3 linked regions of the Tamandua tetradactyla genome follow. The protein of the gene in region 1 interacts with the protein of each later gene in a pairwise test. Links are inferred from orthologs where the notes say so. Each region holds a gene or a part of one and is shown on either strand. Other genes may lie near its edges. The genes, in order: RAB11B, MYO5B and RAB11FIP2.

Region 1 (10,239 bases):
TAACAAAAATGCTGTGCATGTACAATTAAGATTTGTGCATTCTAGTGTGTGTAAATTTTGCCACCCTCCAAAAAAACATGAAAAGAGCACAAAATAAATACTGAATTCTGCTTATGATAGGCATGCTGAACTGGTTAGAGGTAAAATGATATCTTCAGTTTTCTTTGAAATGCATCAAAAAATGACATGGATGGAAGATGGCTAGAGGGATAGATATCCGATAAACCAAAACGTTAGTGGTAGAATCTAGGGGGTAGCTATATAGATATTTTCTGCACAATTCTTTTCATTTTTCTAAATATCTAAAATTTTCCATAACAAACTGTGGAGGGAGAAATTCTAGCCAGATCCTGTTGCCTTTTGCAGGCTCTAAGCTTACATCAGCCCTCTGTTCAAAAGGGAAACAAGCATTAGAAAAGTGTTACAGAGAAATGAACACCAAGTGAGCCTCTCTCCTTGGTAGGTGTTCTAGTTTGCTAGCTGCTGGAATGCAGTATACCAGAAATAGAATGGCTTTTAAAAGGGGGAATTTAATAAGTTGCTAATTTACAGTTCTAAGGCCGAGAAAATGTCCCAATTAAAACAAGTCTATAGAAATGTCCAATTTAAGGCATCCAGGGAAAGATATCTCGGTTCAAGAAGGCCAATAAAGTTCAGAGGTTCTCTCTCAAGTGGAAGGGCACATGGCGAACACAGTCAGAGTTTCTTTCTATCTGGAAAGGCACATGGTGAACACGGTCAGGGTTCCTCTCTCATCCGGAAGGGCACATAACAAACACGATGTCATCTGTTAGCTTCTTCTCCTGGCTTCCTGTTCAATGACGCTCCCCAGGAGGCATTTTCCCTCTTCATCTCCAAAGGTCGCTGGCTGGTGGGCTCTCTGCTTCTCGTGGCTATGTCATTCTGCTTTGCTCTCTCTGAATCACACATTCTCCAAAATATTTCCTCCTTTATAGGACTTCAGAAACTAATCAAGACCCACCCAAATGGGTGGAGACATGTTGTCACCTAATCCATCTTAACAACCACTCTTGATTAAATCACATCATCCAGGGAGATGATCTGATTACAGTTTCAAACATAAGGAATTGAATTGGGATTATTCTGCCTTTATGAAATGGGATTTAGATTAAAATATGGCTTTTCTAGGGGACATACATACTTTCAAATCAGCACAGTGGGTAATAAAGGGTTTCAAGGAGTGAAAAAGAATAGGACTTTCCCACTATGTGGTGCCATGTTATTTAATGCACTATCTAAAACTATCACCCACGTCACCCATGCCAAGCTTCCCAAACTTTGAGGTCTGTAATAATTTGATGCATGTGTCTGGGATTCATGTCTGGAAAACACAGCACCCATGCAGGCCCTGAGCCTCAGCTGCTGCAGATATCCTGTTTCTGTCTCCCAGATACCCTCTCCAAGCATTTGTTTTAAGTTTCCCTTGGGGAGGTGGTAGAGAAATCTCTGTGGTTTTCCTGTGCCAGGACTCTTCCTGGGAGATGCTGGGGACTGGGTAGCTCCTTGGGGCTGAATGTGGGTGATGAATTTGTCAGCGCTGTAGAGGTTCTAGAGCTGCCACTCCAGGGAGCCTGGAGGCCAAGTTCCTTGTTTGGGGGGGTACGCTGGGAAGCCTTGGAGGGTATCCTTTGAGCCCACTGTGGCTGAAGAGGTGGGGAGGTAGGTTCTGCCGCAACAGTCCAGCCTGTGGAGTGGGGTGGGGGGGGTTGTGTGCCAGCTCTGCTCTCTTCATTTTCCGGTTCAGCCAAAGAGGGCTCAGCTCTCTGACTTCTGTCCTTATCCTGCCATACCCCTACTTCCACCCTCTCAGAATTTCCTGCATCACCGTGCCAGGAAATAACAGAAAAAATAGCCACCACTGTTAGGGAGTGACCAAGGGGTCAGGAATTAGGCAGATGTGCCGATGCGAGAGCTGGAGCTCTTACCCACGCATTCTCCTGGGTGACCAGGGACAGGCCACTAAAGCTCTCTGCCCTTAGTCCCTGCATCTGGAAAATGGGGACAGTTTTGGTAACACCCCCCAACGCTCCCTCCAAGCTCATTCTCACAGTGCTGTAAGGATTTAATTCAGCATTACATGAAAAACTCTCAGTACAATGCATGGCTCACAGCAAGCATGCAATACATATTAGCCACAGATACTATTACTATACTGCTATGAGCCATGCTGGGGCAGGGGGTGGGTAGTGACTGAGACAGTGGAAAAGGGTTCATGGTGGAGGTGGCTTTGAGTTGTTTCCAAAGAAGGATGAAAATTCTACCAGGGAGATAGGGACAGGGAGGGCATTCGAGGAAGAGAGCACTGCTAGAGCAAAAGCAGAGTAGGGCTGCTGTAGGAAAGTTTGGTGGTTCTCTAGAAAGTTAAGTATAGAATTACCATAGGAACAGCAAATTCCACTTCTTAGGTATATCTACCCCAAAGAACTGAAAACAGGAACTCGGAAAGGTATTTGCACACCGATGTTCATGGTAGCATTATCCAAAATTGGAGAAGAGATAGAAGCAACCCAAATGTCCACCAATAAGTGAATGAATAAACAAAATCCACGATGGAATACTATTCAGCCACAAAAAAAGGAATGAAGTTCTGACACATGCTACAACATGGATGAACCCTGAAGACATCATGCTGAGTAAAATAAGCCAGACTAAAAAGGACAAATATTGCATGAGCTCACTGACATGAAATAATTAGAATATGCAAATTCAGCCCAAAATTAGAATACAGGTTACTAGGGGCAGGACTGGGGGATGAGAAAGGTGAGTTAAGGCTTAATTAGTATGGTTTCTCTTTTGGACAATGGAGAAGTTTGGGGAATGGATGGTATTGATGATTACACAGCACTGTGAACATATTAACACCACTGAATTGCATACTTGAAATTGGTTAAAATGGGAACTTTAATGCTGTATATAGGTTACATTTATAAAAAGGCATAGTGAAGGGAAGTGCATTGAGTGTGTGGGAGACCAGTGGGTAGCCCCACCTGGCTGGAGCATGGAGCAGGAAGTAGGGGCGGTGGACAGGGAACAGCAGTGGGTTGGGGCTGGAATGGCTAGGGCTTTGAGCTCCCTGCCCAGGAGTTTGCTGATGTCCTCCCTGATCCAGCCTCCAGCCTTGCTTTCTTTCTTCTTTTTTTTCAATATTTGTATTGAGAAATCTTCACACATGTACAGTTCATCCATAGGATACAATCAATGGCTTGCAATATCATCATGTGGTTGTATATTCATCACCATGATCATTTTTAGAACATTTGCATCACTCCAGAAAAAGAAATACAAAGAAAAACCCATGCGTCCCATACTCCTTACTCCTCCCACTCACTGACCACTAGTATTTCAATCCACCCAATTTATTCTACCCCTTATCCCCCACTATTAGTTATTTATTTCCCCCTCTTTTTATTTTTTTCACTCATCTGTCCATACCTGGATAAAAGAATATCGGACACAAGTTTTCACGATCACATGGTCACATCGTAAAAGCTATATAGTTATACAATTGTCTTCAAGAATCAGGGCTACTGGAACACAGTTCAACAGTTTCAGGTACTTCCCTCCAGCCACTCCGATGCACCATAAACTAAAAAGGGATATCTATGTAATGCATAAGAATAACCTCCAGGAGAACCTCTTGACTGTATGACGTTTCTCAGTCAACGAGACTTTATTTTGTCTCATTTCTCTCTTACTGCTTTTGGTCAGGAATGCTCTCTCAATCCCTTGGAGCCAGATTTCAGCTCATCCCCAGAGTCCTGTCCCACGTTGCCAAGGAGATTTACACCCCTGGAAGTCATGTCCCACGTAAGGTAGGAGTAGCCTTGCTCTCTTGCCTGTTATCTCTGGCCCATCTCCCTCCTGTGCCTCATCGTGGGGTCACCATGGCCTGCTGGCTGTTTCTCCACCCACCAGGCTCTCTCTGTTGTTGTTTTGTGTGCCTATAATATTGTTGTTCCTTCCTTTCTCCCAGTCCTAGGACCAGATCCCTCTCATGGTTCAGGGCTCAGTGCAAATGCCACGTCCTCCAGCATTGTGTCCCTGACTCCCCAGCTAAGGGGCTCCCCATCACGTAACCCAGTTTCTTCTTATTGCACACGTACCACCTCAAAATGACTGGGCTCGTTGCTCATATGCTTCTTATCTAACTGCCCCCACTAACTTGTCAGTTTCATGAAGGCTGGGACTTGGTCTTGGTCAATGCTGCATCTCCAGGACCTCAAACACTGTCTGCAGCATAGTAGGTGTTCAGTAAATGCTTATGAATGAAGGCCTAAAAGGTTTTTAGACAGGGGAGTTATATAATTTAACTTATGTTAAAAAAAAAAAACAAAAACTCTTGCTGACTTCTGTGAGAACAGACTGTGGGACATAAGGACCAAATTCCAGACACCAGGGAGGAGGTTACTGTACGAGGCCAGCGGGTGATATGGAAGCCAGAGTCAGGGTGGTGGGAGTGGAGAGGATGACGTGATCAACAGAAGCAGAAATTTAGGAGGGAAGAGGGTCAGGATAAGGCAATTGAGGAGGTAAAGGGAGGGGAGTGGAGGAAAGAGAGAGTGGAGTTCACCACCTCTTGCATTGGTGATTGGGCAGGAACGGAGACCCATGAGGAAGGGTGAATTTGGAGAAAGAGGCCATGTTTGTGCCTAGGATGCCTGAAGGACATCCAGGAATGCGGTTTACGAAGCAGTTAATAATAACTGCCAAAACTAGCACATGAGCAACTGAAACCGAGGAGTTAGGATTTAAGGAATGATTTTGATTACCGAATTATTTCATAAATACTTCTTTTTTGCTTTCTGGCATACCCGAGTAGGCAGATTTCAGTACCTGACCTCTCTGAATTGCAATCCGGCTGCCTTGATCTCTGACAATAGCTGTACAGCCCTTCTGCCCCTGTGATTGTGACTAAACCTTGTGACTACTCTTCATCTGTCCCTAATTATTCAGTTTTTCAACTTTAGAGTCTTGTAATCACTAAAGATAGCCCCTAATGTGTGTTAATGAAGTCCCCCGAGTCCCAAATTATCTTGATGACTGAGACTGGATCTAGACAAAGTGGGCCCTCCTGATATGCGCAGTAGCTTAAATTTGAATGGGTAAGTCACCTATCCCTCGTGATAATACTAAAAATCATGCCCGTCATTATATTAAGGCCGCTATTTTCTTACCAACACTGTGTGACTAAATGCATACTCAATCTGCACATGTTCAATAGCAGATCACCCCTAATTACATCACCTGGGGCCAAAGTGCCCATTGTCCAAAACCCTGCTCACCTTTTCTCTAAAAAAAACTACCCAAATTACCACAGTTCAGGGAGAGATTTGGGGCCGTTAGGCTGTCTGCTCTCCTACTATGTGCACAACAATGAACTCTCTCCTTAAAACCCCTGGTGTCTCAGGAATTGATTATTGAGCGCCTTGGGCAGAAGAATCCATGGACTAAATTTATCTGTTAACATTCTGGCTTAGATTCTTCATCATTGAACAAACACTGAGCCTTGAGGATACCGCAGATACAATCCCTACCCTTACGGCATTCAAAGTCGGAGCCAGAGGACATAAACGAAACAGGCAAATGGATCAAAGGAGGAAGACAGGGCCACGGTGGCTCAGCAGGCAGAGTTCTCGTCTGCCATGCCGGAGACCCGGTTCCATTCCCAGTGCCTGCCCATATTAAAATCAAATTTAGAAAAAAAAGAAAAACGGAATGCATACTTGCACATCAGGTGGTAATAAATATTACGGAAACAAAATAAAACAAGTTAAGGACACAGAGAGGAAAGAAAGGCCTTGCTGCAGAATATCTGGTACCCACTAAGGATTCAGAAATACTAAATAACAAACACTTAAGGACACAAAGTCGACGGTTGATATACTATGGACGCTTTTAGGAAAATCTATTCATCCTCAAAAAGATTTCCAGAAGGTGAAAGTCTTCACTGTTTTGTGGAGGGAGGAATCCGAGGCGCAGGGTGAGAAGTAACGCGAGTCACCAACACAAGGATGGAAAATGCAACCGAGAAGCGACAAGCGCCCTCCAGACCGCCATCTAAGCAAAGAGGAGCGAGCGCTCCGCAAAGGCCGATGATGTCATCGGCACGCTGCGATCTGTAACGTAGCTTCTCCTGAACGTGGCCCCTTTTCCCTTCCCAGGCGGGTCCTCGGGTAGTCGGGTAGGGTCTGAATCAAGCCTCTCATTGGCTGCTCATTTCATCAATCCCCTTCGTTTCCCTAGTCTTCCGCCCCGCCTTTCCGAGTTCTGCTCTGATAGGCCGGCGCGGCCGTCACTTCAGAAAGATCCGCATTCCTTCCGCCTTTCTCCAGGAGACGGACGGTGAGGAGGGTGGCTCTCAGGCAGTGCCCACCCCGGAGGCTCTGCTTCCGCCTCTGATTGGCTGCTCCGGGTGTCGGTCGCTACGGCGCCCGCCGCTGTTTGGCCAGCCAGCCCCAGTTCAGCGCGGCGCCGGCTCCGCCCCCATCGGGTGTTTGTGGTGGGGCTGCGGAGTCGCCGATCCCGCCGGAAGCGCCAGGACAATGGGGACCCGGGACGATGAGTACGACTACCTATTCAAAGGTGCGGCCGCTGGGGCAGAGCCGGGCGAGGGCGAGGCGGTGGGCAGGCGCGGCGAGGCTGCGCTCCGGGCCTTTGGGCCCTGGCAGGGATCCGGGACTTGGAACCCGGGGGGAAGGCCGGGAAAGGCCAGGCTTCGTCAGCTTCGGGCCGGGGTGCACGGCTGTATGGAGCGGGCAGCCCCGAGAGGTCTGGGGACGCGGGGTGCGCCGGGGCGGGACCGAGACCTGAAGGAGGTGGGACAATCCGTTGGGGGCGGGGCCTCCGGGGGCGGGGCCGCCCCAGCATTTGGCGGGCCGGGCCGGGCTGAAGCGCCACTCGTGGTGGGGGCGGGGCCATTAGAGGCGGGGCTAGAGCCTGTGGGCGTGTCTCCGTGGGCGGGAGGGGCCAGGCCTGGGTGGGGGCGGGGTCCAGGGTCAGCGCCCTTGGGGGCGCACAATGGGAGGTTGGGTCGAGGTGAGGGTCCCTCGGGAGGTGTGTGGTGCGAGGGGGAGCCTGGACTGGGGTGCGGACCCCTAATCGGGTGGAAGGGCTCCTGGAAGGGACCATGTCTGAACCCAGGCGTGGTGATTGAAAGCAAGAACTAAATGAAACGCTTGATGGTATCAACCATGTACCTGCACTTCTCTAAGCACTTTACACGCAAGCGCTCACTTAAATCCTTACCTTGTGAGGTGAGTAGTATTCAGCCTCTGTTTTTACAGACTAGGAGACTGAGGCCCAGGGAAATAAAGGCCCAGCCAGAAAGTGTTGGAGCAAGACTTGAATCCAGGCCGGCTGTGGCCTTTATCATTTAGGGAGCATGTTTGGGGGCCTTGTGGCCAAGATCTGGGTGTTAAACCCTCTCTCTCCAACACTTGAGCACTGGTGTCCTGGACCTTGGCCGTCCTGCTGGTGGATCTTCCCTGCCTAAGGAACAGATGGCTACCAAGTAAGGCCCAGGCAAGGCTAGCAGCTTTTGCCGAACTGGGGCCAGCTGGAGAGCCTTTGCTTTACCCCTCGAGCTGGGAAGACTCCCTTCACATTATTAGAATCCCTGCTTTCTCTGCTGGGCAGGTTGGAGGATCACTGCCTTTGCAGTACCTTGCCTGCTGAGCTCGGCTTTGGCCAGGTTCTCTGCCATGCCTGCTGGACTCTCGGCTGGCAGTGGCCACCCTGGAGACCTAAACCCTGGGTCCATGCACTACACCTTTGCCCTGCTGCCTGGTGTGTCAGCACCTTGGGACCAGGGCTTTGGGAATATAAAGAGTAGGGTGGAGCTCTCCCTACCTAGGATATCCACATTAGTCAAAGGTTTCCGGGCTGAAGGAGAGCCTGTGTCAAGGCCCTGAGTCAGCCCACAGCACCATGGGCTCAGGGGGTTGCAAGCAGGCTGATGTGTCGCTGGCAGGGCACACCAAAACTCACGTGCCTCCCAAGCCTTGGGTTCTTGGAGACTTTGGTCCTCCTCCAGCTGGTTTCCCATCTTCACTCAAATCACCTTAGGGGGCTGCTCCCCTGCTCATAACTGAGCACCCGTCTGATGTGGCACTGCCAGGGCAGGGGGATTTCCCCCCCAGGTGCCACATCCTGGTTTCCATTGCCCTCCCTTGCTTGTCGGGCTGTCAGTTTATTGTCACCCTTTTGCTTTTATAAACAATCAGATACAAATCATCTACTTGCCCTTTGGATTATTTCCTTGAAGTGTGTTCCCAGAAGTACAGTTACTGGGTCAGGGGCAATAGAGCAGCTCTGCACTTCTCAGGACTCATCTATAGACTCAACTTCCTGGAAACACAGATCAGGTCTTACGGTAGCGGGCATACTGTGAGGGCCACCTGTCCCCTGTCCTCCTCTACTGACCCTGTTTACCTAAGCCAGTGGTAGCAAGCTGCTGAACTCGATCTAGGGTGGTAGCAGAAGTCTAACTCACAAAGTCAGCATTTCTGAAACTCTGTTCATCCAAGGTCTCACCTTCCAGCAATAAATATCTTTTCCTACTTTTCTTTAAATCCAATAAGTTTTTCACTAAGTTAGGTGTATTAGACAAGGAAGGAAGGAAGCAAACCAGCAAACAAACCACCACCATTACATCACTGCCACAGATATGGAGGAGGGGAAGGTAGAAATGTGAATATGTACACCCCCAGACCTGGGGGCCTGCTATTGAGGCTCAGGTCTGGGCCCACCTGCCAGAGAGACATAGAAAACACACCGGCCCTGAGCCCCCTCCTCTCCTCTCCTTGCAAGGGTCAGACCTGTTGACAAAAGCCAACTTTTTCAGGACCTCTGCTTGCAGGACCTCTGCTTGCAGCACCCTGGAGTCCCCTGCCCCCTAGGCCTTATTTGTCTCTCTCTGGATTAGCCCCTGGACCAGTGCAGCCATTCCTCTCTGCTCGGGACCCTGGGCTGCTCCTTGTTCCACTCTCCCACTGCCACCCTGTTCTGAGCAGCCACATCCCACAGTGACTCCCCCTGACCTCAACAGCCAGCAGATTCCACGGGCCTGCTCTCCACGAACATGTGCTGTTGTTTTCCTTCCTGTTTCCTCTCCCCCTCCCTGAGAAGAGGAATGAAGTTGTTTATTTGGACCTAATTATAGGCCTTCACATTTATCCTCATAACATTTTATCCTGTTAGCCCTGGGCTCTTTGCCCAGGTTGCTCATTGATTGCTGGGGTGACTCCTGAGCTCTCCTCTGATGAGTTGGACTGCAAGGTCCACCATCAGGGGGCCCAGAGGCTTCCTCAGAGCTCTTTCTGGATCCCCCAGCCAATCAGTGGCTCTGAGAAGAAGGGTGGGTGGCAAAGGAAGCTGACCACAGTGGCCCTAGGCTCATCCTGTGGGTTGTGGCCACCTCTGCCCCATTTAGGAGCCCTTTAGGGAAAAAGGGTGAAGAGAAAATAGCTGCTGGTTCCTAAGGGACTGGACCAGCCCTGGTGCGTGCCCTTCTCTGCTGAGCTCTGTTGAGCACTCTCCAGGCAACCTCCCTGCCTCCAGCCCGGACGAGTCCCACCAGGCCCTGTGTCCTGATTGCTGGCCTGGGACCTGAGCAAATCATCTTCCCCAATTGCGAATGGGGGCCCGCTGGGCCCATCTTTGGATACCTCTGCTCTGCAGTTCCCTTGGAAATAGCTGCCACACAATCCACCTGAGCCTCAAACCCTGAGCCCTAGAGAATGCCATGCTGTCATGGGGCAGGGCAGGGGACCCAGGGCTTCCAGGAGGTGGCAGCTCTTTGTTTTTACCAACTGGGTTTACCCGTTCTGTGAACCAAGTGGCAGGTCCAGGAGGGCCGTTTCCTAGCCAGTGAGCCCACCGGCTTCTGTGGAAATGCCAGGGGCTATGTCCTCAAGGGCCCTTTATTTCCCCAAGACAACAGGTTGTTTATACTCTTGACAATGCCATGTTCATTCGCAGTCTGCGCTCGGGCTGGCCTGGCTACTGCCCCACTGGCCCCCTCTCTGCACTAGGCAGTGTGTGCCAGGGACTGCTGTGGCAGCCCAGCTTTCCCACTGGTCATCTGGTCAGGGTCTGGTTGGTCTTCATCTTACTCTGACCTCCATTGTTCACACTGGGTGACTTGGGGCTGGGAACTCTGTCACTCTGGGCTGAGTGTTTCCAACAAGGTAGCAGGAACAATGTTATACTTAGATTTCC
Region 2 (9,836 bases), on another chromosome or scaffold:
TCCTTGAAGGTAGTTTTAGGCACTGAGTGCCTATCTGTGGACTGTGGAACCTTGCTTTGTGCTCAGTATCCTGGATTGGTCCCGTGTACTCATATATCTTATAGCAAGCACGTGAGCAGGGCTTGTCTTATACAGCTAGCCCTTTAGTAGAGGGTAATGTTAATGTACCTGATGCTGGATGCCCAGAAGCATCAGTGAAACTCATTGGCCTTTGCTAGTGAAAAATAACTATAGGCCATGCTCACAAGGACAGGAGCTAAAAGGCTGTAGAACTCTACGCCCACCACTTAAAGCATCTCAAAGCTCATGCCATTTTGTGATCGTTATCAGTGTAGTTTACAATAGACCATCCTTCTATACAATTTGTTAGTGACGTGAACAGGCAAAGTGCGTCGTTGGACCCAGACAGCTGACAATCTTAGTTCTGCATGCCTTTCCTCAATTGTGAGAGCTCCTTTAAATACCCCAACCCCTAGGGCCCTTGGTTTCCTTTTCTGAAGGTGTGTGTGAGATGTTTGGAGTGGGCCAAATGATTCCCAAACCTGGCTGAATAGAACAATCCCTTGGGGTTTCTAAGTTAGTAGTTGGCAGACCTTTTCTGTAATTGTAATATTTTGGCGACTACTCAACTCTGCCATAATAAATACATAAATGAAACTTCATGGCTGTGTTCCAGTAAAACTTATTTAAAAAACAAGTGGAGTACTGGGTTTGACCCACAGGCTGTGGTTTGCTGATCCCTGAATTAAATTAAAAACATACTTCCTTGCTATTACCGCTGGATATTCTGCTTTAGTAAGTTGTAAGTGGGGCCTGGTAATCTATGTCTTAAATTTCTGAAGGGAGGGGATTCTGATGATCAGCTAAATACTGATCATTAGATTTGGTGATTGCTAGTCATGCCTCGATTCATGATTTAAAATTTTTTATTGAAATCTATCATAATAAAAGACAATTGAATTTTTTAGAAAACCAGCTTTTTAAAACTTCTTAAATGAAATGCTTTTGAGGTCAGTTTAGAAAATTATGAATCTCTTGGTGAAAACTAAAGGCGAACACATTTTAGAGGAACACTTTATAAGAAATAGGAACTTAGGAAGGAATGCTTTAATTTTTTTTTTACTCCATGAGAATGTTAAATCCCTCATTGAAGTTATAAGAACCACACACCTCTCCAAGTTCAATTTCGTTTTCAGTTTCTTTTCAACAAGCATTTGCGTGTAGAATGGGGTGTTTCTCGTATGTCCCCAAGAGTGCTATTCCAGCGAGTAGAAAATTGGGAGTTTGTTGTGTTTTTGCCTGGCTGCTGACTTATTCTCTCTTCCGACCTGAGTGCCAGGAACCTGTGTTGTCAGGGTATGGATTCTGGGACTGGGCTGCTAAGCAAGGGTGTAGTGACGATGGCCTGTCTTGGCACTTGTCGTTGTTCTTGAAAAGGGTCCAAGATAGATCTGCCTTTTCCTGAATGATGGGCTCAGAGCAGTTTTCTCAGTCTTGTCAATCTTGATATTTGGGGTCAGGTAATTCTTTTTTGTGGGGAAGGAGGCTAACCTGTGCTTTGCAGGATGTTTGATGTCATCCCTGGCCTCCACATCCCGTACCTCAATTGTGATAACTGAAAGTGTCTTCAGAAATGACTGAATGTCTCAGAGGTGGGGACCCTGGTTGAGTACCTCTGGTTTAAAGCTAAGGACTTTGTGTTCTCTAGTGAACCCTCGGAGGTGAAATCCCAAGAACAAACTACATTTCACCTGCGTAGGAGGTAAGGTCGGTGATTCTGGATCTAATCCAGGCCTTTGGGAGAGGAAGAAGCCATAGTCATCTTATGCTTTTGTTCTCTCATGTCCTCCTAAGCCTCTACTGTGTGTGTCAGTGTTGCTGGACTAACTGTTCTGAAACACAGTCTTCAGACACAGCTTACCTGCTTTGGGACTTCAGACAGCTTCCTGTCCTGAGAGGCCTCCATTATCTGAACTACTTTACCCACCCAAACCCATTTACCATTCTTCCTTGGCACTCATCTTTGGTTGTGGATAATTTTGTTTTTGTATTTCTAGTGTTTTTATTCTGATAGTAAGTACGAAAATAAGAACATAGATATCTTAGGTTGGAAAAAATGAATCAATCTTTAGACTTAATTGAGGAGCTCCGGATTGAGATGTGCTGGGATGTGGATTGGGTCTGTGATCAAAGAAAATGGATTAAATGGAAACAAAATGATATATGGGCTTGAAGTCTGGCAGCAGTTGCTGAGGGCCAGTCTACTCTTATAGTTGTACCTGAATTGTTGGTATACGTCACTGTTACCTGTTCATCATATTTCTTTGGGAGAGTATACAGGTTTAAAGTTGTGACAGTTTGCTGGGTGCAGAGGGAGCAGATATGGCCTTGGCATCCATGGGAGTTTTTTTCTTTATTTGTGGGAGTTGTCTCCATCCTCTGAACTCTTCTACACTGGAGGTTTCTTCTCAGAAGCTGCTTCTTCAGTTGACTTAGGTTGTGCCTGAGCTACATGCCTCTGCTCCAAGAGTAGATGGCCTTTTGTGGGAGCAGTTGGTTGGGTCACCATGATAATGTGGAAGAGCTTACAGACATTCATTGTCTACCTTAAAATACCTTTGTCTGTATAAGTTCATGTCTGTTTCCAAGCCTTTGGGCTCTTCCTTTGTCTAAATCCCGCCATTCTCATTCAGGACCTAAAACTTTTGGCCTGTTGTATGTCGAAATAAATTCATCAGGCTTATTGCCTCGGAAATAAGTTCTATATTCTACTATGAACTGATGAATGACTTTTAATAAGCATACCAGAACTTTCATGTCTAAATAAGTGTTACTGTTCAATTAAATCATTTTAGGATGATTCTAACAATACAGTCGTTGCTCAAGAAGTTTTGAAACATCTCTTACTGTTTTGAAAACCATTTTATAAGTCACACTTGAACCAGAGAAGTTCCATTTGTACAATTAAATAACTCTGTTGAAGATTTCTATGGGCCAAGTAGTGTACCAGGGCTGGGAATCAAAAGAATGATTAATTCTCAGTGTCTGCTCTCATGGAGCCTACATTTTGCTTGAGATAAATGTGTAAGTGGCACAGGGATGAGCCAGGTTACGCTGGCATGTCATGAGAAACAAGAAAGTCTGCAGGAGAGGGAGGGGAAGTAACATATATGGGGAATGAGTATGGAAGGAAGGTTAGGGAAGGCTTAAACCATAACAAGTGAGTAGGATTTCAAGAGGATTCAGGCGGGCCACGGTGACTCAGCAGGTAAGAGTGCTTGCCTGCCATGCCCAAGGACCTGGGTTCAATTCCTGGTACCTGCCCATGTAAAAAAAAAAAAAAAAAAAAGAGGGATTGATGGGAGAGACTAATAATACCCTTCCAGGGAGAGGCAGCAGTATAAGCAACAATATTTTGAAAATCTAGGGGCTTGTTCAGGAAATAACATTTCACTGGCTTAATGTTCCCTGCAGTGACAGTTCTCCTGGACAAGCCCAGCAGAAACACTGGCACTGTGGGCCTTTGCCAGGTGAGTCTAGAGGGTTGATGCTGGCTTAGCTGGAGTCTACCAGAGGAGCTGGGAGCAACTATAACCCAGAGATAGGAATATATTGTGGCTCCAGCAATACTGGTCACAGGGGTCTAGCAGGAAGTTAAAGACTAGGACGAGAGTTGGCAGCAGGATTGCAAGGCAGGTGCTGGGGAATTTTTTTGTTTAAAAGCTGAACGCTGTGAACCAGGTTAGAGTCACAGGACTTGTGCTTACTTAGGCTGACACTGGTACAAGCAGGCACATCATAAACTTCAGAATGAAAGAGAGAGAGAGGAAGTAGCTGGTAGCAGGTCAGACCCCAGAGGGCCTTGAATAACAGACTACAAAGTTTGGACTTACTGATTTATAGGTGCTTTGTGAATAATAGATATTAAACTTGTCTTCTGTAGGTTTGTGAATGTTTCTCCTCAGTCATTTATTTATGGAAAACTTTTCTGAAAAATGAATGTTGTCAAATCCATCAGTCTTTTTCCTTTATGAAGTGTTGAGACATTCAAATTCTTGCAAATGAAGTATTTTTGGAACCCAACAGTCTTGACACTTATTTAGTGATTCAGTAAATCAGCCAGTATTAAAGTATGTAGCTAATGTGTTCTGTTCTTCCCTATTACACTCTAATTCTTCCCTTCCCCACCCCGTAATTCCATTTTGAACTCCAGTATGTCACTGCATTCATTCATGGTTGTGGCTTTTATAGGAAACTGAGTATCATTCGGTTGGAAAGCCAAGCAGCTGACCAGCCTCTTCATAACCCTTTTAAGCTCTTTGAACAGACTAGGTGCTTTTTCTCTATAAAATGACTCTTAGCCCAAGTTACGGTCTTCAAACACGTTCTGCTTCAACTGAGGTGTGTTGAGCACCTGAGGTGTGTTAGTAGACGCTAATCCCTCTTCCCCACTAAGCGGTGTGATCTTGAATTTGCCACTTAACCTTTTTGGTCTCATCTCATTTCAAATACAAGAGCCAGTCGTCTCTTTTTAATGCTTCTCTCATCACGGTTCCTTGGTTCCATGATTCTTCTGAATTTCAGCTTAGGGCTATGTTTGCTACTTTGGTTTTCTTGCCTATCATTTTCCTCTTCTAATCTTCTATCTTTGAGCCTCTTATTTGAAATCCCTTCAAGGCAGGCAGTTATTCCTGTGGATGCTTCTCTTTGTTTCTGCAGGCTTTTAGATATGTCTGCCTCATTTCCTGGACTCTTGTCTTTTGCAGCTGAAATTAGAAACCCTTAGAAGCATAACGGATGCTAGAATCTCATGAAGTAACAGCCCTGAAATATCCCAAGTCTACTGGCAGAGAGTCTGGCTATAATTCCAGTGACAGCTCTTGATTGCTCCCTGTGTAGGTAATCACATTGGTCCCCTATTTCTCATAGACTTGAGGATGGCCTCAGTGCATTCTCATCTCTTTGGCCAGGCCCTTTTGTTTCCTAGCCCCATCCCCCCCCCCCCGCTTTTTTTTTTTCCTTAACCTTTTAGTGTGTTATTTTTTGAAGTTTTGGAAAACTTCTAGTATAAGCCTATATGCAGATCGGAGTTTAAATCTGCAGAAGCTGCAAGCAAATACTGAACAGAAGTCTAGAGGTGCTGAGCTACCTATAAAAGGGTGTGGTGTTAAATCAGGTAGCTTTAGGACTTGTGGCTCATTTGATAAACAAATGGCTGCCCAAAGCCTCCTGCAGGATCAGAGAAGAGAAGCAGCCTGGAACCATGGAGAATAGGCAGGATAGGAGCCAGATTTGGGTTTGTTTGAGGGCTCTCAGTAGCTTTTAATTTTAGGTACATCCCTTAATTTCTGTCCATACCTACTTCATCTATCTGTAAATGGCCACAAAGGGCTGTCCTCAAATAGCATCCTAAGATGGGTAAAATTTGTTAATGCCCTAAGAGACTTCTCAGATAAAGTTGTAAATACCTTGAGAGGAGAGAGCTTATATCACTCTGGGTTGAGGAGGGGAATATATAACATTTGTATTACTAAATACTCATTGATAAATCAAAGTTGTTAACTGGATCACTAGATATTTAGTGCTTCCTGTGCAAACCTTCAGTGCATTGGTGGTTGAGGCCTTTGTTACAGCTTCTTTTGAACAGGTGGCAGGTGGCTGCAGTGGGTCCAGATGCAAGGGTGGGGCTGTCGCCCTTCCCTGTCTTTAGTTGGGGTCCCCAATAACTGCAGGGGTAATTCCCTTTTGCTGGTGGCACAGGAATACACAGGCGCACACCTCCTATCTGATTTGAAAGTCACTTCCTCATAGAAACATTTATACTAATCCTAAGTAGGTAGGCTGTTTGGGTTGCCCTGGGAACCTACCACTTCTAGGATGTTTTTCTATAGAAAAAGTGAATTCTGTGTTCCAGACTTAGAACTTAGAACACATTTTTTTAAAAATATTGGTAAAGGGAACCCTTATTTTAATTTGAGGAGGATGTGGGGCCATATTAGAGGGGACTTGGCGCTACAATGAGGCTTCTTTGGGATGGATCCAGGAGGCAGTTATGTGCTGCTCCGTACTACCCAGCAGGTCAGTTGTGGAAGGCTGCAGTATGAAAGGTACTAGGGTGCCACTGGGCTTTGATTTTTGAAGTAGCAATTTTGAATCCTTAGTTTTAAAAAAAACAAAACCTCAAGAACTATAACAAAAGGAGTCAGAAAGCAGCCTCAGAAAACTCACGTCTGGTGGAATGGTGGTGATTTCACAATTGGGTGTGAATGCCGAGGGTAACAGCATGTGCTTGTTGGTGTTTGAATCTCAGATGGATGTGGGGAAAACTTGATAAGGGATATTAGTTAATACCCTCTAGCTGTCTTTCCTGGCATCCCTGTGGGTGGGTGACCTTCCCACTATCATGGTCAGACCCCAGAGTCTGTCCTCAGCTTGTGCCCCTGCTAGTTTCCCTCCGAGGGCAGACTTGGATTAGTTTTATGCATCTCCCTCCATGAAGAATGGTTCCTATGACTGGGGCCTAAGATACACATAAAATTTTTTTTAAAGGATATTAAAAAAGAAACTCATGACTTCCAGAAGATTACTTTGCCAGAGGAACTGGCCACGAATAATGGACGTATTAGGGAGACTTTCCCCTCAAATGTTACTACCAGGACAGGGAGCAATGGAAATCAGTTAAGAAGAATCTGTTGGACACTGATGTATGCCTCCTACTGCGTGGAGGATTTTGGAAGAATGAATGAGGAATATACAAGCCCTGTTCAAAAAGAAGTTTATAATATAAATGGGTAGATAAGATAGAATAAGCAAAACAGGGTGAACAAGACAATATGAAAAGTATTTCTGTACTACAAATCATTTTAGAAGGGGAAATATAAATTATACATTTATGAATGCAGAAGTTTTAATGGCAGTGTGCTCTCAAATCTATAATTCAGACAGCTAAAGAAAATTATTTATATCTGAAGTACAGTTCAAGCTAGTCCTTGAAAGACGGTGAGATTGAGTTGTGCAGAAAGGATATGTCAAAATGTAGATTTTTAAAAAATTTATTGCTCTAGCAGTTTTATTCTTAATGAGCTAACCTGGGATTAAACAGAACACAATTCTTGTCCTAACGATTTTTGAAGTTATCTGAAAAATATTTTGTCTCTGTGATTTCACCAGGGTTGCCACTTGTACATGAGCTGTGTCTGTAGTGGTGATAAATGGATTTATTTTTCTGAGGTGTATGGTAACTATTCCCACAGATACCTGCCAGGCAAAGCGTCCTGGGGCTCACTCCTGAACTCTCACCTTTATCTTGTTCGGAAACTTTCAGTAGCTCCCTATCATAAAGTCCTCTCTCCTTACCCTGGTGTTGGGGTCTTACGTGATCTGTCTGTATTCCTGACTTTCTATGTTTTTATTCCATCTTCTTTATAGCAGGCTCTCCTCACCGCAGTTCCTGCTGCTGTATATTACGCAGGGCTCCTTTTCCTAGTGTCTGCATGTTCACACTTTGCGTATTCTTCAAAGCTCTACTCAGATATCACTGCTTCCATGAAGCCTTCTTTAATCTGTCTAGCTAAGGGAGTCCTGTTGCTGCCGAGTATCTCTGGCACCAGCCTCCACTGCTTTTGTGGCCCTTGCCTGGTAGCTTTCTTCTTATGTTGTTAGTTTATGTACAAGTTTTTCTTGTCCCCAATGGAGAGAAGGCAAAATTCCCAAGCCTTTCTGGTCTTGGTTTGCCTGCACCTAGTATTACTGTACTTTCCGCACAGGAGGCTTTACCTCTGGAGAAAGGTGTCTGATAAGTCACAGCTGGCAGCCTCCAAGTATTACCTTGTGCTTCATTACTTGGTCCTTCAGCCCTGCCTTATAAACACCTGGGCCTCTCTTGTTACCTCTTACATGATCGCTTGGTGGATTTTGCATGTTTGCATAGATGACTGACACATGCAAACAAGTACGGTATTCTTTAAACATTCTGCTTTATAACAAAATTTCTGATTTGTTTTTTGGCCAGGGTAGAGTCTTCTAGAGCGGGTAGGGCAGCAAACAGCAATTATTAAAAACACACTGCAAACATCAAATTCCTACCTGGTTGTAGTTTAAGCATGTTCTCATATTCTTGCTGGGAGTAAGTTGAAATACTGGGATGGCACAGAAGTGCCAGCTGTGCCTTTGTTGTGGTTTCTTTTCATGATTCCCTACTACTACCCGAGTCTGATTTGGGGAAACCAGTAGAGTGACCTCCTAATTTGGTTATCTGTGGCTGCATGCAAACCACCCTAACATTTAGTGACATAAAACAACAATTTGTTTTCATTTTTCATAGTTTTGTGGGTTAACTGGTCATAGGTGTTCTATTAGTTAGCTCCACTACTCTTCTGGCTTCACCCTCCACCTTAAGCAAAGAGTTCAAGATTAATTTCTTAAGCCTTACCTCCTTCTGTGAGTCTAGACTCAAACATCCAGCTGACTGTTGGCAGAGTCAGTGGTATGTCCCCAAACTTGGCATTTCCATAAGGGAATTCTTTTGGTATGAATGCAAGCATTATCTAATTTCTCTGACACCAGTGCTGGAGCAGTACATGGTGCAATAGTAAATTCTGAGTAATAGTTAATGAATTAATGAGTGAATGAACTCTTGTCAGGGTGTACCAATAGGGGGTGGATAAATTCCAGCACAAACACACACACACACACACACAAATGCACACATATACAAAAGAATACTAAAATGAGTGAACCAACTCTACATGTATCAACAAGATAAATGTCAGTGGTGCATGAAATATAATCAAGTTACAGAATATGCATGGTATGCTACCATTATCTAAAGTATACAACCAAATAATATTAGATGTATGGATGTATTTTTATGTGGTCAAAGTAAACATATGCATATGTGAGGGAATCGCTCCACTATCAAGTTAATGGATATCCATTGTCAAGTTAATGGCTGTCTTTTGGGATAGAGGAAGGGGTGACCTATGTAATGATGAAATAGCCTTCTCTGAAGAGAAGACTGGCCTTTTCCTTCAGCTACTGCAGGGTGATCTCTATGCCTGGTAGGTGTCTTTGTCTGGAAGCTTTTGCCACAGGGCAGCCTAACAATGTGATTTGTCATAGGACCTTTGGACCACACGATATCAATTCTGCCTCCTGCAGGGACTTGAGACTAAAGGTGTCAGCCTGACCTCTTAGAGTTGCTGGAGCCTAAAGATTAATCGATTGGGCAGTATTTGGTCCAAAGCTCTGGGCACCAAAGGCTCTGGTGAGCTTCCCTGGATGGCAATACTCTGTGAATATTGTCCTACGTAATGGCAGGTAGGAGTTAATGCTGTCCTTGACTTCATGGGAAGAGGACAACCCAGAGCTTTGCTAGTGAATTATTGGTGTTATTTACTTTTCAATCCAGATTTTCCATTTTGTTCTTCTTTGTAATTTCTATTTCTTCATTTATATTCTGTATTTTATGTGATGTTGTCAAACCATCTTTTGCTTTGCTTTCTTTACTTCTGTGAGCATTTTTACATCTGAAAGATTTTTTCTTTTCATTCTGACATCTGGTCATACTCACGGACAATTATACGTGCCTATATAGGTCATACTTTCCTGTTTGTTTGGTTTTTAACATGCCTTATAATTTTTTGCTTGAAGCTTGACATTTTGGATAATATACTGTAGCAACTATGGTTACTGATGCCCCTCTCCCTTCGGAGTTTATTGTAATTTGTTTAATTTCATGACTGGTTGTATTATTTTAGTGAGTCTATCATACCTCCCTCCAGAAGGGTTAAGCCCCTGCCACTCTGAGAAGGCTGCAAGTAATTTCTTCCTCTCTT
Region 3 (9,576 bases), on another chromosome or scaffold:
GCAGGTAGGATTTCCATGTGTACAAAAGATCAAAGCAGGTGTGAGAAGAAAATAAACCATCCTAACCAAGGTGAAGGATGGTGCATGACGGTAAGAAAACAGAATTTTAGAAATGAGACCAAGTCAGTCATCTACTTTACCAATCTTATCCCATAGATGAGGAGACCAAACACAGAGAATGCCAGGTAACTTCTCAGTGGCAGATTACAGTCAATAAGGAAAAAAATCCAAAGCTGATGGGTAACATCTGCAGGAAAATAGAAATTCTTTCTATCTAATGACCCACATATGTTAAGGTTAAACACAAAGCTGGTCACTTATTCCGGGACACTGTATTTGATCAGAAGACATGACAGCCAAAGAAGAAAGCAATATAGATTTTCTATTGCTAGAGTGTAAGCTCCTAGAAGCCAGTGTGCCTTGTACTAAATTAATGTTTATTGAATTTGTGCTTCTACCACCCTTTTTCTAAATCAATCAAGCTACAAATCTATCTCTGTGTATCGTTTTGTTTTGTTTTGTTTTGTTTTTGTAAGGAACTCTGAAGACTTAGGTTAAGTCTTAAAGAAAAGAGTAAGTCGTTGTTTGGATACAAACTACCCCAAAAGAAAACTGCAAATAATTTTTTTTTAATATACTAAAAAATGGAGGCATGACAAGTAATTTTACCTGCTTTGTTTTCAAACTGTAATAACAGGGAAGTCTTAATGAGACCTTCAAGAATCATTCCAGAGATGGCACTGATTTTCTGAAGCTTCATAAAGATAAAATGAAGACCAAGCATTTGGGGCTTAGGGGATTAATGCTGCTTTTTTTTCACCTCTGGAGTACTGGATTTAAACTGTATGGCCTCGGTTCAATTTCTAGTGGGCACAGGTCCATGTTCAAAAATCACCACACATGTGGGAACTATTCCCAAACAATTGGTGCTGTGTGGTCAGAAATGGGACAAGATTGGCAGTAAGGGTGCCAGAGGCCAGGATGCAGGTGCACTGCAAAGACGCACACAAAAGTCCTGAAATCTGCATGTGTTTGAACCATACCTAACTCTAGGGACTCTGATCATTATTACTTCTCAGGGGCATTAAAAAAAAGTCAATATCACCCACGTCTGTTGTAAAAAATAAATAGATATTACATAACAGCATGAACTATTTCACCATTCTATTATTAAACTTTGTTTTATTTCCTTAAATCTTGTGCCAGGATTAACCCAGATACCCATTAAAGTGGGAGATACAGCAGTTCTCTTTCCAAGCCCCACGCAAAGTGTTCTTACCCAAGCCTCTTTCCTCCTCTCCTTAGAAGAAAAAAAAAAAGCATTATTTGAAGATATAAAAATAAATAAGATAATAGTTTTAGCCATCACACTTCTTTGCCACAAATGGAAGATGGGCTGTATTTGTCTTTAGTGTCAAAAAGTAAAAAGTGTCACATCCCACAGTTCCATGGGACTTCTAAATCAGCTGGTAGCCTTCATCACTCATACTGGTTTTCTAAAAAGCACTTGGGAATATGCTGACAAGGTTCAGCAATGTGCAGAATATTAAATATCTTTCTTGTAATACACTAGTGACTCAAGTCCGTCTCTTATTGCGCCACATGCACAGCTGTGTTGGAAAAAGGAAACTATTAAATATATTAAAAAACTGGAAATATTACCAATAAAGATACCTCATTGAATATGTGGTCCCCATTTATCCACAAAGAAAGAAAATACTAAAGGTACAGTAACAAATGAAAATCACTTTGAAAGTAGTAACATCGCAAGACCTGCTAACATTTAAAAGCATTTTCTCCCCACCAAAAGTTACAATCAATTTTATTTAGTATACGGCATGGAATTCTGTAGGGAGAAACAACAATACTGGAGTGCTACGGGAACTTATAGGAACTATGATGCTGCCAAAGACGACACACAAAACAAGAAGAAACTTTAAAAGGCTATTTCACCATTAGGTTCACACTTGGGCCTACTTTCACTTGAAAAGTTTGTATTTCAGAGGAGGCCTATAATACATTATCAATATTAAAAATCCTGCAAATACAGTTAAGAAACTTAAAGCTACAACAGATTTAAAAATTTACATTCAACACATTTTAAAATATACTGTCACCCCAAACTGGCAATTCAGAACGTGGTGACTAACCACTTCTCATTTTAAACTGTATGAACTTCCCAGAGGAAACTAAAATACCACTTTTTAGGTAACACAGTTTTGTTATTGAAGTCGCTGCATTACAACTTTACATTTTTTTCTTTTTCTCTCCTCTTCCTTAAAATAATTTCATCGCCTCAATTAGTTTAAATATTTATCATTTTCCTCTTACATTCGGAGTATCTTATACCTTTCTACTCATTTACCCTGCATATTTTAAACCTTAGGTAAAGACCTGATAATACAAATTCCAATCAAGAGAAGTATGCAAGCAGACATTTACAGAAAAGAACAAGAGATAATTATTTTAAAACGGACACTTTAAGAAAGTTATCACTTTAAATATGATTTTAAAGAGGTACATACATTTCAGTTATGACAAAGAAATACCAAAGTAATCTCAGGAATTTAAAGACTTCAGTTTACACTGTTTTTTTCTCTCATTAATTTTAATGTTTTCTCAAAATAAGTGCAAATTTAAGAAAGTGATGAGTATATTGAGCTCTGAAAACATTTTTTCTCATTTTCAGATAGAGTATTTTAGTGTTAATTAATATATTTTTTAAATAAAAGTTAACTCACTGAAGCTTGAAAGTCACACTATGACAACTATGCTATGTTGATGTCATTAAATCATTTCATCACAAGAAGTTAGTCCTTGCCGCCAATCTTCCAGCATTTAATATGGTCTAAACACACTGGCTTTGCAGAACTAATTCTGAATACACTATTGTCAATATATTGTAAATTCCAAGGAAAATGCTGTTAATACATTCAGGGTTAAGAATGTTTGTACATAGTTTTAAATTTTATTTTTTTTCTTTTAACAGCTTTAAACTCTATCAACACGTATGGACCCTGAAAAATGGCTAAGCTAAAATAAAGGCCAATTGTGTTTATAATTTTGAAATGAAGTACTGAGTTTTAATTTTGGTCATTTATCTTTCTGCAATTTCGAAGTTCAACATTCGTATTAAAATGTTACATTTCAGGTTTAATTTTCAGATGTTCCACTTCATCAACAACTCTAGTGTTTAAAGATCGTAAATTGTAGGCATGTTAAGTTTTAGTTGGCAATCCTGTGATCCAGTCTTCTTACAAATAGTGAAACACTTTTAATTTACTTGAAATCCAAGGTAAAATATTCTATTTGATAGCTATTTACCTCAAACAGAAATGAGAATAACGGATTAATGACTCCGTGGAAAAAATGTTTCCTCACAGATGCCATTTTTACGTCAGATCCATGCAAACATGGTGCTTAAAACTTGGTCATATTTTAACCCAAAACTAATGCCCCAGGTAAACAAATAATTTCCAAAAATAGAAAATCCATAAGACATATTTAAGCGCCCCCAAATTTAAAATAAATTGCATAACTTACTCTGTTTTCCTTCTTTGTTTGTCCTCAAAGATGTCATTGAGATTGATTGCCACCTGCCCTAAAAATTTATCCAGACCCACTAGGGACCTGTGCATAACTATGAGGAAAAGAATGTATTTCTCTGGATTCCCCTGCATTAGCAATCCAGGTAGCTCAAAAGAGGCCTCTTCCTTCCAGACTGGCTCAAGGGTTTTCTCAGCTACAGAGGTGGAGTATTTTTCCTTGCCCAGTTGAATTATAGTGTATGTGTCATTGGTGCCACTTTTGCCTTTTGGTTTAAGATCTTTGGCTTGGAGCACTGTGACCTGCACGTGGGTTGGAAACCACTTTGGGGCTTGCTCTGACAGCATCATTCCGCCTTTTTTGCTCTACACGGAGTCCACGAGCGCTAGCAGTGCCCCTCGCGGAAGGAGACCCTAATTCTTTAATTACTGCATCCTAAGGCCACTTAACGGTGAGCTGCCCAGTTTCCCTAGAGCTAATGTCAAAACGGCCGCCGGACTGGGGCAGTCCGGGGACTCGGCTGTTCTGGGTTCGCCTTCCCTCTGGAGTCACAGGGCCCACCATCACCTGGCCGCGCTGTCCAGGCCTCCGTGTGGACCCCGCGCCTCGCGACTCCACCTTCACGCTCCGCGGCTCTCAGGGACCAACCCTGGGCAGCGGGCGGCTGGCGGCCCTGCGGGCAGGTGAGGCCCGGCCACCTGGGCCCAGGCCGAGAGCTCGGAGGTGGGAAGGAGGCGTCTTTTTAAAAAGTGACTGGTGAGCCCTCCGCCCTGCAGACGACAGCTCACCGGCCCGGACTCTGCAGCCCTGGCCTCCCGCCCGCCTTCCCGCGGCAGGGCCGCCCAGCCTCCTGAGCGCCTCCCGCCCACCCCGCGCAGGGCCACGGCCCGGCCCGGCTCCTCCTCCCGACCCGGGTAATACGAACCGCCGGCGACTCGCGCGGCCTGGCTCCCTCTCACAAACCGCTCCCTCCTCCTCCTCCTCCCCGTCTCGCCTCGGCTCCTCCTCTCGGGCGGGGGCGAGTCGCCTGGGGGTGGAGGGGAGCGGAGGGGCGCGGCCGCCTCGGCGCCGGCAGGACGAGGGGCGGGCCGCGGGTTGCTGGGCGGCGGCCACGGGACTCGGCCTCGCTGGGCCGGCGGCTCCTAGTACCGGGCGGGCTGCAGCAGCGCCGGCACTTCCGGGTTGTCTTTCTCCATGTTGATCTCGGAAACGCAAAGGGGCGGGGCTAGGAGAGGCCGCGGGGTCAGGGGTCAGCACCTCCCTGGTTGCCATGACGACTGGGGGCGCGCCGTCTGGGCTGTGGCGAGCTTTGGGGCGGTGCTGCGGCCCGGAGTTCCCTAGCCCGTGCGTGGTGCGACTCGGCAGGATGCTTTGCCCGTCGCCCGGACACGGTGGTGGGCGATGGGGACACGGGATCCTATAAAGGCAGACTGGGGCGCTCTCCCCTGAGGAAGAATTTAGGCCCCGGGCCTGCCCTAAACTAGACACACCCAAATTAAGCCTTTGAGAGTAGAAAATGCCTTGCTGTACCCTGGGTGCCCAATGCCTGTACCAAGTGGAGGGCAAATAGTGGCGGAATGAACTGGTCCCCTTCATTGACCTAAAGCACACATTTCCCCCATGCCCCTTTATCCACCGCTCTCTTTTTGAAAGGAGAGAAGACCGTCAATTTACTGGAAATGACATCTCCATGCAGAGGAAGGGAGAAAGGGAAGCAGTTACAAAAGATTGCAGAGCTAACGCGTAGTTTAATAAAGATCTCGGGAGGCACTGGGTCGGAGCCAGAAGACCTGGTTCCAGCTCCATCTCTGCCACCATCGGTCAGTCTGGGCGACCTGGGCGGGTCATTTGACCTCCCCAGGCCTTAGATTCTTCACAAGTGAACTGAGGTTCTCCACCGTGTCTCAGATTCCATCGTGACTCCATGGTCTCAACATCAAAAGGAACCCCCGCCCCGGGAACTTCACCTGGAAATCATCCCTTGACTTCGGAAGCCAAGCCCTGTGGACCTCAGAAAGACAAACGGCTTGTTTACTTCACCATGGGGGACAACTGCCATCCTGTGCCTAAAGCAAGGACTGGATGAGCACCAGTGCGGTTGGAGTGAAGAAGGCTTTGTTAAAAAAGAAAAGAGAGACAGATAATACTGAGCCTTTTCTGGAACTAGCCTAATCTAGCAGAGAAAGTACAGATTATGGTTTAGGATGGGTCCGGTGTTTTGCCAGTTCTTTCAGCTGCGGGACCCAAGGGACTTCACTTCTGTGAGCATGGATTTCCTTGTCCATAAACTAGATACAATACTCATTATAGGGATGAAGGGAATATTATGAAATAATAGACGTCTGATTCCGAGCACAATGTGGTACACAGTTCTGTCTCCCTTTGCCTATTTCTCACCTACAAGGGGCACTTCCATACTACTTCTATTGCATATGTTTCTGCTCATGTCTTTTCATCTCGAGGAGAGTCTAAGCTCTCAGACTGCTTTGTGTACCGTGGAATCCTCTCATAACATACCACCTGCCCTTCCATTTATTGAGTGATTTAATACCTTTTCTCCTTTACAAGGCTATATGGTAGATGTGAATGCACTTTGCAACTTAGAATGCCCATACAAGTGTAAAGTATTTATAATTTTCAGGTTAGGTTCAAAACTTCTACATTTGAGAAGGACTTTCTGTGCTCCATGTTTTCTCAGTGTCTCCATTTTTACAAGATCCTTTTTGCAACACTCAAAACTCTAAGAAGCAAGTGAAGTTAAGGGTCTTTACTCTGTAGTCAATACTGTTTTTCAGTGGGGGCATGTGAGAACCCAGCATATTGGTGTTAGAGTAGCAGCCATATAGTTGGAGTGAGGTGGGGTGGGGTGGGGGTGAGGGAACTGCATTAATTTAATCTTACAGCCTCTGTAAGAGGCTTGACTGGAAAGATAGCACCACAAACCTTGAAACCACTCAGATTCCAGCATATTCTTTCAGGGATCCACTTACTTGCTATTGTCTATAGATTTCCTACATTTGTTGTAAACTTCAGTATTTTAATTTGCTTACACTCTGTGGCTGCATGAGTTCTGCATGGTGTGAGTCCTCCAGAAAGAGACACTGGGTTAATTTACCACCAAGATCTTCCGAGAGCTTAGCTACAGATACATCTTGAAGAAGCCAAGCTAGATACCTAGGATCTTTTCATCTAGGATGAAAGAACCTAAGTTTTAAATCATCTTAATGAAAGTTTACCATAAAATGAAAAGTTAACCACGAAATGGAAAAAAGAGGCACAATTGTCCTCCTCTGGGAAATAGTAAATGAAAAGGCCATGTACAGAAAGTAGAACAAAATCTGGGTCCCAGAGTGGGCGATTGTCAACTTTAAAGAAAAATATTCCTGGGGAGTTTTAAAGACTACATTGGAATAGTCAATGGTGGAATTTCAACAGCATCCCGAGGGAGAAACACTTTGATACCTGAAACTTAAAACAAAATAAGCATCACAAAATCAAACTTAAGTTTAGAATTTTTGTAAATTGGATTTTAAGTATTCATGTCTCTATTAAAGTTTATAATTAAATAAACAATAGGCAATTATAATACTAGCTGTGTGTTTCTAAAGAGTTTAAATTGTTTGGTAAGCTTTATTAAAGATTATAAACTTGTTTACAAGTATCAGTTCACTCATCTCTGAAACATAGTTATCTCTAGGGTGGAAGTTGGCAGCAGTAGTTCACAGCAACCCAATAACATTCTCCAACACAATTCGGAGAATACTCTAAAGTATTTGACCTGAGTATTTAACTCAAGAGCTGAGCAACTGGAATCACTAAATCTCTTCCTGTAGTACCTAAATTTCTTTTTACTTTTCCCAAAACCTGGCTAGAGCCAACATTGTTTAGTTTTACTATCTGGCAAAATCAGAAGTTATGACTTTATTTTTGTAAGTCGGAATAAGAAAACAGCATATTTGAGGCCATGAGGGGAAAGAAAAAAAACAAAATGAGTTAAATACAATCTGGAATTACATTACAAAAATGAAGTAGCTTCCTTTTAGAAAGTGTTTTATCATATTGTTTTGGTTTGCTTTGCTTTCTATTGTATTAAGGAAGTTAAAACATAATAGTTGGGTCAACTATGTAGATGGCTCAGGGTGAAAAACAATGGCAATTACATAAGATCCGGATCAGAGCAGTTCAGCCAAAATGTTTATTGTCTTACAGTTTTAAAAATTCTTTTTACTAATTTTACGATATACTTGGACAGTAATTTAAAAAGGGAAGAAACAGCACATGCACAAAAACAGCATGCCAGAATCGAAGAGAGTCACTTTTTTTATTATCCTGTGACTAATGATCTGTCTGGAAACATTTGGTACAATTCCAAAGTCAAGCGCTTGGGAAAATAATATATCTTCAAGGGGGGAAATGTTGAAAATTCTAATTTTAAACTGTTAAAATGCTGCTACAATGAATAACAGTGATTGGACCAGAAAGTAAAGATAGCCAATACTTATTCCTCAGTAGTGGAGGATTTCACAGATGAAAATATTTACTAAATGTTATAAAGTCCCAAAAGGGAAGTTCATGTTATAGCAGATTTTCTATAGACATCAGCATCTCTATAAAGACATTTTTCAAATCTATTGTAGGACAATTATAATGCTCTCAGTGTTTAAATAGTTCACTTGGTCAAGAGTGTTGATGCTGCCATATACATTTTGTAATGGATAATGATTGTTTTCCAGATGGAGATCTTTCAGAGACATGAGGGAAGCATGAGTCTTTCCCAAAGCTTCATTACAACCTTCAGACTTCAGACGCACGTGTGTGTGTGTGTGTGTGTGTGTGTGTGTGTGTGTGTGTGTGTGTGTACAGTTCAAATATATAAGCAGCTCAAATGTGTATACAATTTACATACATAAGGCAAAGCTCCAGAGTTATTTTGGAAATAGATCAATCCATCTCCATATAACTAGTTATAAGATAAAGAAAAAAAAGTGAATTGATTTGAAATTATAATAGCAATGTTTTGTGTGTGTGTGATTTTTTTGTTGTTGTCTTCATCACTAAACTGATTAATTTGTCTTCTAGAATTAGACAGTGTATGGCCAGTTTGCATGCCAGGAGAAGTGAGAGTAAAGGGCCCTAGTCCAGTCAAAATGGGATCTTAATAGCAGTCTGCTTTTACTAGCTGCACATCTTTAGAGTAAATTTCCCTCATTTGGACTCTGTTCATCTGTAAAATAAGAGAGCCCTAACAGGAGCCAGGAAAACATCCCTTAACGTTTAATAATTTTGAATAGTACATCCACAACACAAAGAAGCAAATTACATTGTAATTACCTAATTGAATTTGGTCAATATACTAAGGCAAATTCCCTTTTTTAGTAATTTATTAAGAAAGATCCTCTAATTGGGGAGAAAAAAATCTTCAAGATGTCCTGAGTGCTCTCTCTCCCAAATGAAAGTAATTAATGATCACAGTAAGAGAGGAAATATAATATTTATTATAGGCTCTACATGAGGAAATCCACACCAACAGCTCAAGATTTGGAAGAAATTACATTCAAGTGCATGTGGTTTTGAAAAGCCTTAAACTTTTCGTTTGTAATAGACATAACTTCTCTTCATATTATTTGCAGCGCTTTCGAACTGTGAATGCATGCTGAGGAGAATAAGAATGAAAGCAAATACATATTCGCATGTAGGAAAGTTTCTTGTGGATGTCTTTTCATGGTATTCTGCTATTATGTTGTGCAGATTTTGTTCCCTCAACAAAATCAATGTGTGCAAATACACAGAACTTGAATCCATTCACTTTAAATGTGATATGATATCAGGGCCAGTGAACAAGCCCCATTTGATGTTTCTCTTTCCCCAGGACGTTTAAGTTGTTTCTGATTTTTCACTATTACAAACATGGCCACTGAGACATCCATAGGTGTCTCTTTATGAATATGTGTGGGAAATTGTATTTGGAATCATACCTCTTTTTGACAACTGGCAATGAAATTAATGGGAATGTATGAGTGGTAGTTTGGA

Evidence for each region.
Region 2: the proteins of RAB11B (region 1) and MYO5B interact in binary tests that used the Homo sapiens proteins (3 or more experiments, as listed by UniProt). The link is inferred for Tamandua tetradactyla from reciprocal best matches to the Homo sapiens genes RAB11B and MYO5B.
Region 3: the proteins of RAB11B (region 1) and RAB11FIP2 interact in binary tests that used the Homo sapiens proteins (3 or more experiments, as listed by UniProt). The link is inferred for Tamandua tetradactyla from reciprocal best matches to the Homo sapiens genes RAB11B and RAB11FIP2.

What each region holds. Positions count from the first base shown.
Region 1 is NC_135337.1:84,842,749-84,852,987, forward strand, and holds the start of RAB11B (ras-related protein Rab-11B), read left to right. Parts: upstream 1-6,427; 5' UTR 6,428-6,563; coding exon 6,564-6,603; intron 6,604-10,239. UniProt on the Homo sapiens protein: The small GTPases Rab are key regulators of intracellular membrane trafficking, from the formation of transport vesicles to their fusion with membranes.
Region 2 is NC_135344.1:32,697,926-32,707,761, forward strand, and holds the start of MYO5B (unconventional myosin-Vb), read left to right. Parts: upstream 1-5,931; 5' UTR 5,932-6,033; coding exon 6,034-6,078; intron 6,079-9,836. UniProt on the Homo sapiens protein: May be involved in vesicular trafficking via its association with the CART complex. The CART complex is necessary for efficient transferrin receptor recycling but not for EGFR degradation.
Region 3 is NC_135339.1:80,407,397-80,416,972, forward strand, and holds the start of RAB11FIP2 (rab11 family-interacting protein 2), read right to left. Parts: upstream 4,385-9,576; 5' UTR 3,897-4,384; coding exon 3,544-3,896; intron 1-3,543. UniProt on the Homo sapiens protein: A Rab11 effector binding preferentially phosphatidylinositol 3,4,5-trisphosphate (PtdInsP3) and phosphatidic acid (PA) and acting in the regulation of the transport of vesicles from the endosomal recycling compartment (ERC) to the plasma membrane.